3 linked regions of the Rattus norvegicus genome follow. The protein of the gene in region 2 purifies or fractionates together with the protein of the main gene of each other region. This does not show direct contact. Links are inferred from orthologs where the notes say so. Each region holds a gene or a part of one and is shown on either strand. Other genes may lie near its edges.

Region 1 (5,976 bases), on a different chromosome or scaffold from region 2:
ACCTTGGACTGCCCAGTGGTCTTGTCCTTGGCCAAGTAGATTCGGGAGATGGAGCCAAAAGGCCGGAAGAGTTCCTGTAAGTCAGTCTCACGAGTGTCCTCAGACAGATTAGTGACACGGATGGTGGCATTGTCATCAGCTTTGTGGGCAGGGCAGGGAGAGGTAGCCGTGAGGAGGATGCCGTAGTCAGACCCACGCCCACAACGCAGGACTAATTACAGGGTGTCTAGGTACCACCTGCTCCCTGGGTTTTCCTACCCTCCTCACCTCTGCGGTTTGGCTGCATAGACTCCCCACGGCGGCTTGCCCCGTCCCGGAGACTAGGAGGCACATACTTCCCTGTCTTGTTCTGGGCGGCCTGCACAGGCTCCAGTTCTGGAAAGCAGCAGACAAAAGTGATATTCAGCCCACCCCTGGGGACAGGCGTCCAGCCACCCTTTGGTGACCCACATCATATCCAGGAAGCTACAACCCTTCAGAGTCTCTACTCACGACATGGACAAGGTGAGCAGGGCAGACGTGATCCGGGCTTGCAGAGCCCTCCCTACAAGCTAGAGAATACCAGCTGGCAGCAGCCTGACTATAGGATGTCCCTCAGCAACACATCCATGATAGCAAGAATCAAGTCACAGAAGGCAGTTACCCCCACAGGACATGTTAGATTTCGGTCTACTGAGCCCAGCACATATGTGGGTGTCACCTGAATGTATGTGTGCATACATACATATACACACGCACACCCAAGTTAGAGTAAGTCATCAGTCACACTTGCATCAGAATGACCACCATGCCCAAAGTTGTCCCTAGGTGATATAGGGAAAGAAAACAGTACACTACAAAAGGAACAGCTGAGGCCCCTCCCAGGCGCCCCATGCCCACACCTCCTGGCAATTTCTCCTTCTCCCCGGTAGACAGGCCCAGCTGCTCAGCCAGCTCCTTCTGCATGGGTCCTAGTGTGTCCTTGTAGGGGCAGCGGGTGGTCCAATGGTCGCCCTTGCAAATGCGGCAGGACACGATCTTCTGGCCCTTGAGCTTGTTCATTGGGTCCTCCTCCTCCTGGCAGTTCAGGTCCTGGTGGGGAAGGGATGGCTCAGAAGGGGCTGCTATGTCCTACCCACCCCACTCCCTCTGCGTTTCTCAGGTTCCAGTTTCACCCTGCTCACCTCTTTGCTAGTGATGAATGTCATGGAGACGTCATCACTGACTGTGGTAGTGGCTACATTGGGCCCTGGCGGGTCAAACTCTGAGTTGCCAAACTTCTTCCAATTCTGGGCTCCCAGGAAAAGATGGGGAGGTGAGGATGAAGGCAGGAAGGATCCCACAGTGCAGCACCCCAGACAGACAACCATTCCGGGGCTTTGACTCCTATGTTCTAGTTTCCCTAGAGGCCTTCCGTGTGGTAACAGTGACAATACCCACTTCCTAAGATAGACATGGCGGCACATGACATCACTCCAACATCTGCCAGGTGCAAACAGGAGGATCCTGAGCTGCAGGCCATCCTGAGACACAAGCTCTAAACCAGCTTGAGCTGTATGAGGCCCCATCTAAATGAATGAATAAATACATAAGAAAAGGAAAAGGGGGCTGGGGACTTAGCTCAGTGGTAGAGCGCTTACCTAGGAAGCGCAAGGCCCTGGGTTCGGTCCCCAGCTCCGAAAAAAAGAACCAAAAAAAAAAAAAAAAAAAAAAAAAAAAAAGAAAAGGAAAAGGTGCTGGTGCCGTAGCTCAGTGTGAAAAGGTGCAGTTTACTTGTTGTACTTGTAACAACCTGAGCTTGATCCCAAAGTCACACAAAAAGTTGAGCATGGGGCTCAACTGTGCCACTGCAGTTTCTGGGCAGGTCAGTAGCCCAGCTCCCATCAGGAATGAAGGAGGAATCCCCAGATCTTAGGAACCTTGAGCTAGTTAGACCTGAGGTTCATTTCCTTCCTGTAACATGGGGGCCACAAAGCCCCCTGCCTCCCTAAACTGGCGTGGGGATTGAGAAGCCATGTCGAGCTAGATGACTTGGGGGGGAGGGGTGCTTGCTCTCAGGCAGTGCTGCCCCGGCTAGACGCCCTTGCCCCCTTGGTAAGTAGAGGCTGCTCGCTTCTTCATGTAGACAAAGGAGGAAGAATCTAAGTGGGGACTCGGGAGGCAGAAGCATTCTGAATGAAGACTGTAGAGCTAAAGTCTCTCAAAAATAACAAGCCAGGAAGTGGTGGCAGTGCCTTAAATCCTAAGTCTGGGGTAAAGGCAGGTGGACCTCTGAGTTCATGGTCAGCCTGGTCTACAGAGAGTTCAGAACAGCTAGAGCTACAGAGAAACCCTGTCTGGAAAAAACAGACAAACTACAAACAGAAAAACCAAGAGGGCTGGATATGTCTCAGTACAGTATTTGTCACAGAAGTGCCCATCAGAGTTGATCCCAATGAAGATCTGAGATCAGAGGCATGTACTTATGTGGGAACAGCAAGCCCAGTCTAGTTTCTAATATAAAGAGACCATCTCAAACCAAAAGTGCGCACACCTGCGCACAAAAGGAGAAGAAAAAAAAATCTTAACTTCATCTACTCCTGGGTCCTAAACTTTCAAGGCCTAACACTAAACTTTTATTCTACATCAACAAAAAGGGGCTTCCTAAGTCCTCTGGTCAGTCCTGGGGAACACCCCCATCCCCCAAATAAGTACACTCTCACCTTCCTCCTGGCCACAGCCTTTGATGCCTTCCGGGTCTCAATTCTGAAGGTTCTGACAATCTGAAGGTGGGAAAGAGTTAGGAGTGCTTCCCGAGTCTCAGGCCTGCCTCAGCCATCCAAAGCAACACTGACACTCTTCACCACCGATCTAAGAGCCCCTGAACAAGTCACGCTGACCACATATGCCCACCTCACCCTTACCTTGAACTTCTTCCCATCTTCCTCTACCTTGTACTCAGTCACCGTCTTTATGTTCCCATTGATGACTTCCTTGGGAGGTGGCAGTGGGTCTGGAGGAAGATCACAGAAACTAACTCCTGGGTAATGGGACTGGCTGGAAAGTAGGCTTGAGAATCGGAAGGGAGAAGGGAGAAGAAGGCAGGGATGGACGGTGCTCACCTCCAGGAAGTAACTCCGGCTCTGGACTGGTGTCACCGGTGGGCAGAGGGATTCCTTTCAGGAGCTCGCTGGTGACACACTTGTCTGCCGGAGGGAATTCGGGGAGGAAGGTAAGTGAGCCACAGCGCTGGAACTTTCAAGCCAATGGCGGGGGTTGGGGTGGGGGACCGCTCCAGGGGCAGAGCGCAAAGCGAGGGTGGGACTGGCCACAAGCGGCCCTAGCCTGTGCGTGGGCATCCGGGTCTCGCAGCGGGCGGGGCCGCGCACAAGCACTCACCGTCCTCTCCCTCCTCTTCCACCTGGTCGGCCCAGCTGGGCTTCGAGCTGCGGGGACAGGAGATCGGTGAGCGGGTCCCGGGCCCCGCGCTACCTGGACCACCATACACCCCAGAGCTGCCCCCACTCGGCCTCTCTGGCGACCCCCACCGCCACCGAACACTTACTCAAAGTCGCCAGTCGGCATCTCGAAGTCCTACTCCACGCAGCTCTCAGCCCGGGTAAAGACCGGAAGCCCGTGTAGAAGAGGCTTCCGGTGCTGTGGCCGCTGCCTAGAGCGGCCAGACCGCGGTGACCACAGCGCCTCCCTGTGGACAAATGTGGACATGCATGTTTTGCGTGCCGCAAAGCGCTGGCATCCAACCTGGAAAGGGGGTCTAGAAAAGAGCTTCTAAGAGCGTTTTAAACTTTTTACTCCCTCTTTAGGCTGATGGAACTAGATGTCAGTGTCTCACTCTATAGCTAGGATAATCAGTAACTCCCCACAATCCTTCTGTCTCAACTCCAAAACGCTCATGAACATCATTCCCAGGGTGGCCTTGAATACGAGGCTGTCCTGAACCTTGTGGTGTATGTACCCCAGCTAGCCTTGAATCTTTCCACCTCATTCTAGCAAGTGCCGGGAATACGAACATGAAACCACCACACTGGAAACTGATTCGTTCTCTCCCTCCTCTTGGAGAATTAGTTTTAATTATCACCCAGTGTTAGAGGTGGAAGCTGGAAAATCATGAGTTGAAGGCCATTTCAGCTACTTTTTGGATTCCAGGCTAGCCTGTGCTACATGAGACTCTGTATCCAAAACTAAAACCCTTACTTTGTTCCCCAGGCTTGCCCCTGAACTCCCGAATGCAAGCAATTGACAAATAACTGGCATTATACCAACAAGCCTGGGGGAAAAGCACATGTATCAAGAATGCCCTTAAAAAAAAAAAAAAAGAACCAAAAAAAAAAAAAAAAAAAAGAATGCCCTTGATTTGTGTTGTTTGGATGATACCAGGACTCTGGTTTGTTGAAGAAGATATAGACTCAGACCACCTGGTCTCCTGTGCTTCCTTTTCTGTGACGCATGCTAGGTTTTATCATGCAAACTTGCGTGTGTGTTTGTACTGTGTTTGAAGACACCGTGCTTGTGCACTCACAAACCCTTATGCACAGTACACGTGTGGAGGTCAGGGGACACTTTGCAGGAGGCCTCTCCTTCCACTATGTGGGTCCTGCAGCTCAGGCCCGCAGTCTTGGCCTCCTGTTGGGGTCAATGAATCGCTTCACAAACCACATGAACACCAATCTCTGACAGACACGGACAGTTTATTTAGCGTACATCCCAGGACTGGTTGACCAAGGTCACACTCCAGATTCAGGGACTGAACCCCAAGCTAAGATCCTGCAGGGTTGTTAAGCCCCAAATCCACAAACATCTGTGCCAAGTTATTTCACCAATCAGGATTTAGGGATAGGCAGATTTCCTTGGGATCATGTCTTTGTTGTACACTTACCCTGCTCCCAATGGTTGGGGTATTCAACTGTGGCAGGGGACTTGCCTTGTCTAACATTCAAGTCTTAACTTGCCAGCCAGGGGGCTGGAGAGATGGCTCAGTGGTTAAGAGCGCTGACTGCTCTTCCTGAGGTCCTGAGTTCAAATCCCAGCAACCACATGGTGGCTCACAACCATCTGTAATGATATCAGATGCCCTCTTCTGGTGTGTCTGAAGACAGCTGCAGTGTACTTATATATAATAAATAAATAAATCTTTTAATTAAAAAAAAAACTTGCCAACCAGGATGTCAGTTATCCATGCTCATGTCTCTTTTTGCTCTCTGAGGTTGTCAGTTCCCAGGAAGGTCTTGGGAATGTAATCTTTACTCAACTCCTACTCAAAATGGAAGTCTTGTTCCAAATAGTTTCTTACACTGGTGCAGGTGTCTCTCTTATGTTGGGGTCCATCCCAGGGGCAGCTTACAAAGGCAAGTGCCATAGAAACTTATGTATGGTTCAGGAAGTGCTGCTGGGTGGCCGATTCGGGTCCAGGCTTATTGTGGGTCATGATACAAAACCGTTCTACTGACTTCTATCATGATTGATTTCCAAGGGCACAGAGCATAACAGAATACGTAATCAATCTCGGCATTAGAAAGTTTCTTAGTAACAGCAGAGACATGGGAAAGTTTCCTTATAATGGTAGGCTACCCAGGTAACAGTCACCTAGGCCCTAACATTTTATCTAGGCCTTAAAATATTTTACCTAGGTCCCAATACCTCCTTAGCTGCAAAAGCATGTCGTAAGTTCTATTCCTGCCACCTTAAACTATCTCCCATGTGAAGCTCTTATCAAGTAAATGAAGACTATAACAGATTCTCTGCCTCCAGGGACACCCATTCCAAGCTCCGTGTGTAATGGCCAATACTCCCGGCACTTAGAACTTGTATCTTGGGCTGGCCAATGACTCAGTGGGTGAAGGTGCTTTCCATGAGCCTGTTGCCGTGAGTTCAACCCCAGGACCCATCTGGGAGAAGGAGAGAACTGACTCTAGCAAGTTGTTCTCTGAGCCCACACGTATGCCGTGGTGTGTTCTCACACACTGAATTGGAGTGAAGTTCTTGTAGAATCATGGCGTC
Region 2 (5,233 bases):
TGGGTTACTTGTTTATAGAAGGTGGAATATACCTTGGGAGAAGAATCTGAAGCTCCTGGCCAGAGGGCACTTGCCTTTGAGGAGCTGCGAAGGCAGCTCGAGAAGCTGCTGAAGGACGGCGGCAGTAACCAGCGTGTGTTTGACTGGATAGAGGTATGCTTCTCCATGGGTACCAGGGGAGGAGAGGGAGGACCAGCGTGTGTGTGACTGGATAGAGGTATGCTTCTCCATGGGTACCAGGGGAGGAGAGGGAGGACCAGCGTGTGTGTGACTGGATAGAGGTATGCTTCTCCATGGGTACCATACCTGGGGAGGAGAGAGGTAGATTTTGGAGTGGGTGGTTGGGGAGTAACGAGTGGATACTTAGGGTGCATTTGTGTTCCCACACAGGCCAACCTGAATGAGCAGCAGATAGCATCCAATACATTAGTTCGAGCCCTCATGACAACTGTCTGTTATTCTGCAATTATCTGTAAGCCAGAGAGGTGGTGGGACAGGGGTGGGCCAGGCAATCTAGGGCTAAGCCAAGTAAAATCTGCATTATTCCACTTTTTTGTTGTTTTGTTTGTTTTTTTCCTGTAGTTGAGACTCCTCTCCGAGTGGATGTTCAAGTGTTGAAAGTGCGAGCAAGACTGCTTCAGAAATACCTGAGTGATGAGCAGAAGGAGCTACAAGCACTCTATGCTCTCCAGGCCCTTGTAGTGACCTTAGAACAGCCTGCCAGTAAGAGCCAGGCTGCAGGGGAGGGTGGGGCGGAGGGACTGCCAGCTACAAGACTGTGCTCATGGAAGGTACTCAATGCAAGAGAGGCGGGGAGAGAGTAAAATGCCCCGGTGTTTGATTGTTACTTACCCTACCCTCTGCTTGTTTCCTTGCCTACAAATGGAATGAGTTAATCTAAGCCTGGAGGGTTGATTGCCTGCCCGCTTTGTGCTTGACCAGTAGATGACAGCAATGCAGAGGTGATAAACAGTAATATCTTTCAGATACCATGTGCCCATCTGTCTGACACAAGGCTAAAGTGCTTGCCTACCTTGTTAATGGTTGTTAGGGATTTGTCTCCATTTTCCTCATTGGAAGTGGGGGCTTATGACCATGTCTGAGGTTTGCAAATTCAGCACATGGGTATGCTTAGGTGTTGAAATAACTGTAGTGAGCTTAGTTCTATGCTGGCTTGGAGTCGGAGCATGAATGTTGGAAGATGGGTCCAAGAGATGATGGGTTTGAATTGGTTCCCTATAGATAGAGAGCAGGCAGCCTGAGTTGGAATAAAAACGTGAAAAGAGCTACTGAAGGAAGGTACAGCAGTCATGAACAAGAGGGACTGGAGAAGTGGGGGGAAGGGGACAGATACTTCAGGCTAGGTAAGTACTGACAAGGGGCTTGCACCAAATGGAGTAAGGCTTTTTTGGGATTGTAAGCAAAGAAAGGATGGTGTCACATCCTGTGATCCTAACACCAGAGGTAGAGAAATACTAGTGTGAGACTAGCCTTGGCTAATTAATTAGACCCTGTTTCAGAGAATGCCCCTATTCCCCAGGTGGTCATGGTGGCACTCAGAAGACAGGAAAGTGAGTCTCTGATCAAGACAACCAGGGCTACGTATATACAACAAAAAGCAAAACAGTAGTTGAAGCATAATTACCTTTAAAATACTGTCAGCTGTTTACTTCACTTTACAGTGGAGACTGAGGCTTACTTTGAATGGTTCTGCTGGGACTCCTGCCTTTTCCAATATGTTCTTACAAAAGGATGTGGGATTGCCTCAAGAATAAGAACCCTGGCAAAATAGAAGACACAGATAGGGCAGGGGTCTATGAGCAAAAAGAAAATTTGGTATAGAAAAATGGTTGAAAATGCTAGATGCCTCAGTGTGGTAGGAGCGTATCCAAAAATTAAGCACTTTGAGTATTTAAGACATTGAGGTCTTCCTAGCAAGCTTCAGTATTTGAGAGTAAGTAGGGTTCTGAAATTCTGAATTGGACAGGACTGAGACAGAAGGAAAAACAGATACAAAAATCTCGTTTAGCTTTGGGATAGTTGAAAGCTGGCGTTGTGGTAAGATTGGACTTAGCACACGTGGTAAATAGATGAGTGGTTGTACAGGGTTCTCAGGGGTGGGGCACGCACACACAGGTTTTGGAACACAAGATATGGGATAAGTGAAAGATCAGCTATATCCATAGAGACGTGGAAAACAGGAATGTCTGGCCTAAACTTCCCATAGTTGGTAAGCTAACTTGCCACCTTGGGCTGGGCTTGAGGTCCTGTGCTTCAGGTAATGGGGTTTGTGAGGAATGGGATGGACAGTGTTCTGGAATTGTATTCTAAGACAAGCACTTGAGGAAAGCTGCTTGTGATGGCCTAAAACAAGCACGGGTCAGAGGAGGTTGGGGGGGGGGGGATTCACCCTGAAGATGGGTGCTAAGAGAAATGTACCACTGGGCAGAGTGTCACTCCCCAGAGGCCAGAGGGGTACAAGTGTGTGGGAAGAAGAGGCAACAGTTGTTGGTAGTCTGTCTGCCACAGACTCGTAAATACTGGAACTCAGGTGTCCGGTGCCTAGCTTTCAACTTCCATTCATTATTTATTACTTATTTTGTCTCCGAGATGCAATCTTAATAGTCTGGGCTGGCCTCAAAACCAGTTATGTAGTTTAGGCTTTCCCTACCTTTGATCCTCCTTCCCTCTATATACCAAGTAATGGGATTCCAGTTGTGGGCACCAGACTTCCAGACTTTAACATTTTTCCTTTTTTTTTTTTTTTTTTTTTCCGGAGCTGGGGACGGAACCCAGGGCCTTGCGCCAAGCGCTCTACCACTGAGCTAAATCCCCAACCCCTGTTTTTGTTTTTTTTAAGCCAAGGTTTCTCTCTGTAGTCTTGCAGGCTAGCCAAGTGTTGGGACTATAGGCATAATATACCATCACACCCAGCCTTCCCTCCCTTTGCTCTCTTGAGATGTGGTCTCACTGATAACAGAACTAGCTGGCCTAGAAACAAGTCTATTGCAGACCAAGGTAGTCTCAAACTCAATCTACCCTTCTCTTCCTCCTGAGCACTGAGATTAAATGTGTGTACCTGGTCTCAGTTTCTCCCCCTTTCAGACAATTTTGCTAAGCTGCCAGTTTGCTATGAGCTTGCTATCTTGATCTGCCTCAGTCTCCCAAATATTTGGGTTTACATTTTCCTGTCTCTAAGGATTGCTAATGGCTAAGTAACCCATTCTTGGGCTGGTAATCTCTGTCATGAGATTGGTATTGTCAGAGGCCTAGTCACTCTGAATACCAGAATGGTAGATCAAGGTTGTGTTAGCAGTGTCTCTGTGGGAGGGATCTAAGGCTTTGGCTAGTCATCTAATTGTTGTCCTTGTGGCCTGCAGACCTGCTTCGGATGTTCTTTGATGCTCTGTATGATGAGGACGTGGTGAAGGAAGACGCCTTCTACAGCTGGGAGAGCAGCAAGGACCCTGCTGAACAGCAGGGCAAGGGTGTGGCCCTTAAATCTGTCACAGCATTCTTCAATTGGCTTCGTGAGGCTGAGGACGAGGAGTCTGATCACAACTGATGGCGGGTGGGGCAGGGGACTTGGAGCCATGGACACGTGGATGGCCCAGCCAGCCAGCCGCCTGGACTGCAGGGGGGCGGCGGCGGCTGTGGCGGCAGTGGCAGTGGGTGCCTGTAGTGCGATGTGTCTTGAGCTAATAAAGTGGCTGATGAGGCAGGATGGCTTGGGGCTGCCTGGGGCCCCCCTCCAGGATGCTGCCAAGTGTCTCTCTCCTCCCCCCAGGGCACAGAGATATATATATAAAGTCTTGAAATTTGGTGTGTCTTTGCGGGGGGAGGGGCACTACCGCCTGCCTCTAGGGTCCTTTTTTATTTTCTGAAATCACTCTTGGGACTGCCGTCCTCGCTGCTGGGGGCATATGCCCCAGCCCCTGCACCACCCCTGCTGCTGCCAGGGCAGGGGGAAGGGTTGGGCACGGTGCCTGTAATTATTAAACATGAATTCAATTAAGTTTATTGCCTCTTTACTGATCTGAACCGTTGGAGTATACCAGATTTGTTCACTCATTGATACTTGTTTACCTATCAGAAAATTTCGGGAACCTGGGGAATTGCTTTTCTGAAGGGTTGGGATCATGGCATCAGTTTGACATGATGAAACGGGAGAGGAGTGCTGTAGGATACTTAAGTTTCTGCTGGATTGATCCAGGCCCTGAGTTTGAAGCCCTTGTAGAAGCCATAAGTGGGATGTCCCTTGTAAAATGACTGCACGGCCTACCGGCTTCTGTCCTCAGTATAGCTCCGCAGTGGACTGGAGATTCTGTGAGACCCAGGCTGTCACTGAGTGGCTGTGACGTAGGCTTGCCCCGCCTGTTCTGGGTGGGCACGGCCCCGCGCTTACGTCACCGGCCCTGTTCCCCTCTCTCGGGAGCGGCAGCAGACGCGCTGCTCCCACCCCCTCCCCTTCTCACAGGCTGTCCCCTCCCTGGTGGTGACCGCGGCCCGACCCTCTGCAAGGCGATGGCCCGGGTCCCGAGCGCGGGCTAGCGTGCCTGGGTGCCCTGCCATGGGCTGTATTGGCTCTCGGCGCTCAGCCGGTCAGGGTAAGAGGCGGAGGCCGGAGCACGGATAGGGAGTTGGGCTACACAGCTGCCAGGTGGGACCGTGGGTGGTAGGGGCGGTGAGGAGGGGGCTGGTATAAGGAGAGGGAGGAGCCTGCGTCAGGGAGGCGGGTTGGGCCAGATGAGCGTACTGCGAGGGGGCTAACTGACTCTGGCTTGTTCTGTGGCCTGCCTGCTACTGGGATTTTCCGTGGTGTACTCACCTTCTGCTTTTTGCCTGTATTCCTGCTGCTGAGTGGCTGCAGGGGCACAGCCTGGGAGCCACAGGACAACCTGCGGCCCCCTCCTTCCTGGCTCCTGGCAACTAGCCTATTGTATCTACATTCTTCATTGGCTACACCTACCTCTCTGATCTCACTGTCTTAGGAGTGGCTCTTTGCTCTGAACCTGCCTCTCCTACCTGGGTGCTATCATCCTCAGGAGTCAGCTTGCAAATGCTGGCCAAGTACCCCACCACGGAATTTTTGCCTAACACTTGCTCCAAGCTTCAGAGCCAGCTGGTTAATTAAACGGTCCGAAGCCCCAGGTGGAGCATCTGTGAACAAATTGATAATCTCTCACGCTAACATAATTTTATTCCTATTAACCCCCCAAAACAAACAAACAAA
Region 3 (5,987 bases), on a different chromosome or scaffold from region 2:
AAAGGAAGCATTGAGAATCTTTTTTTTTTCTTTTTTCTTTTTTTTTCGGAGCTGGGGACCGAACCCAGGGCCTTCCGCTTGCTAGGCAAGCGCTCTACCACTGAGCTAAATCCCCAACCCCAAGCATTGAGAATCTTAACATCTCTAACACTCAACATTATGGCTGCTAACTGGTACCAAAAACCTGTTGGTGGAATGTATTTACCCCTGGTAATCAACATTATTACTTTCATTAACAAAGAGTACCAGACTCTAAGTAATTGTTGGAGATGGTGTCTTGTTTATTGCTCAGCTGGCTTGAACTCCGAGGTTCTAGTGATCTTTCTGTCTTAGGCTTTGAGTGGCTTGGACCAGATACCAGCCACTGTATACAATTAATTTGTCTCATTCTTTTTAATGCACTTACATGATCATTGGCTATTACATCACCAATGATTCTTATGCTTTAAATAACATGAAGGGAAAATTATCAGTATGAGAGATATTTCATTTCACTTCATTTTTTTAATTTTCTAGTGCTTATCTGACTGTGGGCCTACTACATAGGTAATGCTGAACCCATTTTACTTTTATGACTATTTTGCCTTTTGAATGTTTGTGCACTTGTTGCTTGTAGAGGTCAGAAAGTGTCAGATACCCTAGAACTGAAGTTATGGATGATTATAAACCACCTTATGGAAGCTTAGAATCAAACATGGATCCTCTTCAGGAACAGAAAGTACTCTTAACTGCTAAGCCATTTTTTCAGCTCCTATTTTTACTATTTTCTGATGTAATAAAGGAATCGAGAATGTGTAGAAAGCCTTTTCTGATATTTAGACCAAGTTTCTTTTGATTTTACTGTTTGCATCTTTCTTTAGCCTATTATGTAATTAAAAACTTCAAGAAGGAACCATTTGCTCTTTATGTTTGACTTTTAAAATTTGACTTAATTATAATATACACAAAGAAGTCCCTTGATCATGCCCATAAAACAGTTGCTAAAGCTTGTAACACTAGATGTTCTTTTACATCAGTCCTGTCTGGTACTTGCTTTTGGAGGTGAAAGTTCGTGCATTTAGCATGGTCTAAGTATTCTGGAGGAAGAACTCTTGAAATCAACTTTAAAGTATTCTTTGTTTTTAATGTGTCTGTGTCTTTGGGTATGTTCATGTGAATGTAAGTGTTGGGGAAGCCAGAGATGATAGATACGCACGGAACTAGAATTAGAGGTGGTTATGAGCAACCTAACGTGGGTGCTGAGAGCTGAACTAAAGTGCTCTGCAAGATTAGTATCTCTTCAGACCTTTAAATAGCTTAAAAATAGTTTTAATTTGTTTTTCCGAGAAAGGGTTTCTCTGTGTAGAACTCACTCTATAGACCAGGCTGACCTCGAACTCACAGGGATCTGCCTCTCTCTGCCTCCTGAGTGCTGGGATGAAAGGTGTGGGTTCCCACTGAGCTTAAGGTTTTACTTTTCTTTTTAAGGTTTCCTCATTCATTGATACACTATCTCACTAATTTACATATCCCATATTATTGTAAAATATATAATGAACTTGCAATAATTTATTCATTTCCTTCTGAATTTTCTCTGAACCTTTGTGTGGTGCCAGGGATTATGGGCCTGTGCGTGATAGAGGAGCGCTCAGCCACTTTACATCTGCAGCCCTGAACTCAAGTTAATTTCCTACCAAGAGCCTCAGAATTCGACGCGGTTTTAAATGGCTTTCAAGCTCTAAGCATAGTAATTAATCTATGAACACTAAATTTGTTAGGTAGCAATAAAAGACATGGCTTGCAGTAAGCCATTTCCTCACCAACACGCATTTCTTGTATTTGTGACGTGAGTTGTATGTAAAAATCGATGACACTCGCGTATTTTCAAACACTATACAAGACGGTTCTATCTGTGTTCCTGGGTCTTCTACTCAAAGGAGGTGGCTCTGCCCCTGCTCGTCTTCTTTCAGGAATCCTTGAGACGCTAACCCTACAAGGATACCAAATAACTCTGTTTATTATTTGCTTGTTCCCTCCCCTTCCTTGTCAGTTAAGCGACTGGTGCCCTATTTCTTAGCAACGAACACCACTGGACAGCGATACCGGCTCAGCACTTCCGTTAAGTATTTTGAACCTTTCCAGGCGATGTCTCCGCACAGCCGTTGCGACCTTAACGCGGCCAGATTCTGCGCACGTCATTTTGGGAATGACTGTTGTAGACACTGCCTTTTTTAGTCGCAGATCTGACCGCAGATTTTCCTTTCCCACCCTATGTCCGCTGGAGCAGTGGTGGCCGGAGAAAACTTCTTGGGGTTCCCTCCCGCGACCCAAAGAACACAACTGTTCTCGCTGCCCGGCACCCATCGCCACGTCAGCTCACGCTCGCGACGCCAGCACGCCTGCGCGCAGAGAAAGGCGGAGCATGCGCAAAGGCCTGCCTCTTACATCCGGGGCTCGGGCGGCGGCGCTGCCGCCGCGAGGGAATCACGTGGCTCCTTCCTTTCCGTCTCTGGCCGGCTGGGCGCGGGCGACTGCTGGCGAGGCGCGTGGAAGCTCGCGCTAGTTCCCCTCCGCCTCCTCTCCCGGTCCAGGCCACTAGGGAGTTCGCTGACGCCGGGTGAACTGAGCGTACCGCCAAGATGCCGGCCTATTTCCAGAGGCCGGAAAATGCCCTCAAGCGCGCCAACGGTGAGTAAGGCAGCGGGTCGCGCCGCGCAGGGCTGGCCCGAGGCCTGGGAGTTCGAGGGCCCCCTCCTGCTGCCCGCACCCGGGCTGTGGAGGCCAGTGGTCACGGCCGCCGCCACCCGGCCATGTCTCACACGGCCTCCCTACTCAAGCGGGCCGCGGCGGAAAGCGCGGATCAGGAACCGTCGCTCCCGTGTGTGTCCACTGGCTGCGGCCCAAGGCTTGCGTCGGAGGGCCACGGCCCGCGGGTCAGATCTCTCTGATCTTGCGATTCTTAGCCACGATCGGCCTCCTGCTGGCCTTTCAGACCGTGGACTGCTTGGGAAGCCCCGCGCTCCCTGCCGCCATCTGGGAGTGCCGGGAGGAGGAAACATGGCTCCCTCCCGGGGACAATGCACGCGAGAACCTCAGCTCCACCTCCCGCCGGGGTCGGGAGCCCGGCTAGTCTACCTCCACCCCACCTCTCCGGCACGTCTGGCTCCAGATCCCACGCGGAGGCCTTCTGGGTCAGGGTCTACTTGCCTCACTACTAGTTTGCACTTCAGGCCTCTACTCCATTAACTTGTTTCCTGTGTGGTGTTTCCCTCCCCACGATTCGATAAGGGTCATTTCGAAAGTATTTCGAATCATTAAAAGTTAATATTCTTTAGGGATTTAAAAATGATCCTCCCCAGACAAGCTCCAGAAAGAGTGGTTTCCCCCAAGGTCACTTGGAAGTGTCAGGAAACTTAAGATCAAGGTCTCTCGATATCCAGTTCGGGTTTTTTTTTTTTCCCCCTTTTTCTCTTCTGTCTTTTTTTCCTTCCACCGCAGTGCCACTGAGTGCTATTTCTATTTCCATACGTGTGCTTAATTAAGCCTGGCACTTGCAGGAAAGACTTGCCCGGATCTCTGATATTGTGGTGGAAAAGTCGTGTGCATATATCTGATCTGACCTTTAAAAACTGCTTTTTGTTTTTTAAAATAAAACCTGATAATTATGTATCTGTGTCCCTTTTAACTCCTCCAGTCCAAACATAAACCATTTATGTTGCCGGTTTTGTGTTTGGCAAGATTACTAGAAGTGGAAGCCACATTTTATGAAAAGGCCATTTGAGTCAAAACTTACAAAAGAATACTGCTGATAATTTGTCAGGAATAAAGATGTGTTGGCTGCATACTTATATTTTTTATTTTGTGGAGGCAATCTGGAATAGAATAATAATGCACCGTGGATAACCTAATACTGCTAGCACTAATTTATTATTGAAATTAGAACTGTAGCTAATTTAGGACTTTTTGATGTTTTGAAACTTAGAATCACGTTGTGGTGTTGAAAATGGAATTGGACAGACATACTAAGTATAGCTATTATATATGTTTAAGCTGTAACATTCAGCAGCAGTCATTTTCCCCATAGTAGTCTAGCTAAAGCACTACAGTCTTTGGCCTACATACATACATAGTAACATGCTGACCCTATTTTTCTCTCCTGTTTGGAATCTTCATGTGAACTTGGTTAATATTTCAATAACTTTTTAAAGCAGAAAGGTTACATAATGTGTTCTAAATTCCTTTTCACAGTTTCTAAGTTGACTTGCTTAATGATGAGTAATCTGGGGAAAGTATCAGCAAAGTAGGGTAGTACTTTGTGGTACAGTGTGGCTAACTTAGGTCTTGTTGGTGCATTTTACCTAAGACCTGTAGTGACTTCTTGGTGCAGCCCCATTACAGTTGCCAGAATATTAAGGAGTAATACCTTAGCTTCCAAGGAACTTGACAGGAGCAGATTGTCTTATCTCACATGGTGCTGTTTATAAAACAAGTAGATGATAAAATGGGTTTTCACTCCTCAGAAATCTGTTTACCTAAACGTTTTATCTGTAGCATTTGTAGCCCCAGGGATATTTAGACCTAATCTATTGCATTATTTTAATAAATAGCCCTTCAAGTCACTCTAAGCTGTAATTAGGGGGTGGGAAAATGTCAAAGCCTTTTACCCTTACACTCTACAACTTCAGCCTTAAAAAGTAAAATTGAGGGGTTGGGGATTTAGCTCAGTGGTAGAGCACTTGCCTAGCAAGCACAAGGCCCTGGGTTCGGTCCCCAGCTCCGGAAAAAAAAGAAAAAAAAAAAAGTAAAACTGATATTATGAAACCCCACAACTAAGTAGTAACATTATAGCTTAGATACTTAATCTGTTGCAGGAATTGGTGAAAAATGAAGGATTGATGTGAGTCTTTTCTTTATTGGTAGATACATGGTTTCAGTCAAATCCTAAAGATAAATGCAGAGTGCCTATTCTAATAATACATATAATTCTGGATTTTGGTTTATAGACACTTGAAATCTTGAAATCAACTAAGTGTTGAAATAATTCCTTCTAGCTGCAAAAGCCTTCCCACAATATTAATTAGGTAATTTCAAGGACCTCAGTCTCAGTTGTAAGAGTAAGGACGAGTCACAGCCATGGATCATCATGAAGAGTTTGTTCGAATTTCAGTTCGTTGTTTATATTTTCCCTCCCCTTACTTTTCTTAGTGGGTGGGGGATTTTAAGGAGAGTGTGTGTGTGTGTGTGTGGGGGGGGTCCTCAGCTGCTCTGTGCCCTAAAACTCATGCTGAGGTGAAAGGCATGCTTCATCGCTTCATCACACCAAGCAGATGTTTTATATTCAAGTGAGCGTCTTTTTCCTTATTTGAAACTTTAAAAGCTAGATTTCTGGGCTTGGACTTGAACCTATCATTAAGAAAATGACTCTTTAATTCTGTCATAAAACGTTTATTTGTTTTTGTACTTTTTTTTTTTTGAGGCAGAGCCTTATTAGGTAGCCCAGATTGTTCTCAAATTTGATCTTATTACTTCAACCTCCTTCAGTGCAAATGATAGAGATTTGATTCTACAACATCAAATTTCTAAGCAAGAATTTAAAAGTGACAGGAAGAAATCACACTTGTGGGCAGAACCTGGGTTTGGTTGCCAGTACACACAGTTGCTTAAAATCAGTTGTAACTCCAGTTGAAAGGGGATCCATCCTCTTCTGACAACCAAAGGCTGTCAGAGTTATACATGGAAGCAAAGCTCTGATACACATAAAGTAAAAAACAAAAAATGTATTTTTTTAGAAGTAAAGACACCTTATATCTATTTAAAAAATTACACATTGGGAAAGTGGATTATTCTTATATTTCCAGTGTTTTGCATTTTAATTTTATCATGGGGTTAGTACTGAACTTAAACTTGATTTGTATTTCATATTGTAAACACTAATAGCTTAAAGTTTAAATCCTTATTGTAAAGTTAGGGATTAGGTATAATGTCATTTTAATGTTGCCGTTACAAGT

The links. Proteins that work in one complex are often made in the same cells at the same time.
Region 1: the proteins of Eif4g1 (region 2) and Eif3g purify together in Homo sapiens (affinity purification with mass spectrometry; 3 studies listed by BioGRID, with this or other methods). This does not show direct contact. The link is inferred for Rattus norvegicus from reciprocal best matches to the Homo sapiens genes EIF4G1 and EIF3G.
Region 3: the proteins of Eif4g1 (region 2) and Eif3a purify together in Homo sapiens (affinity purification with western blotting; 4 studies listed by BioGRID, with this or other methods). This does not show direct contact. The link is inferred for Rattus norvegicus from reciprocal best matches to the Homo sapiens genes EIF4G1 and EIF3A.

Annotation. Positions count from the first base shown.
Region 1 is NC_086026.1:27,706,394-27,712,369, forward strand, and holds the start of Eif3g (eukaryotic translation initiation factor 3 subunit G), read right to left. Parts: upstream 3,554-5,976; 5' UTR 3,544-3,553; coding exon 3,524-3,543; intron 3,405-3,523; coding exon 3,358-3,404; intron 3,165-3,357; coding exon 3,081-3,164; intron 2,972-3,080; coding exon 2,883-2,971; intron 2,742-2,882; coding exon 2,682-2,741; intron 1,269-2,681; coding exon 1,164-1,268; intron 1,072-1,163; coding exon 882-1,071; intron 376-881; coding exon 268-375; intron 140-267; coding exon 3-139; intron 1-2. UniProt on the Homo sapiens protein: RNA-binding component of the eukaryotic translation initiation factor 3 (eIF-3) complex, which is required for several steps in the initiation of protein synthesis.
Region 2 is NC_086029.1:93,725,104-93,730,336, reverse strand, and holds the end of Eif4g1 (eukaryotic translation initiation factor 4 gamma 1), read left to right. Parts: intron 1-18; coding exon 19-153; intron 154-390; coding exon 391-472; intron 473-582; coding exon 583-723; intron 724-3,380; coding exon 3,381-3,565; 3' UTR 3,566-4,015; downstream 4,016-5,233.
Region 3 is NC_086019.1:269,915,473-269,921,459, reverse strand, and holds the start of Eif3a (eukaryotic translation initiation factor 3 subunit A), read left to right. Parts: upstream 1-2,434; 5' UTR 2,435-2,618; coding exon 2,619-2,667; intron 2,668-5,987. UniProt on the Homo sapiens protein: RNA-binding component of the eukaryotic translation initiation factor 3 (eIF-3) complex, which is required for several steps in the initiation of protein synthesis.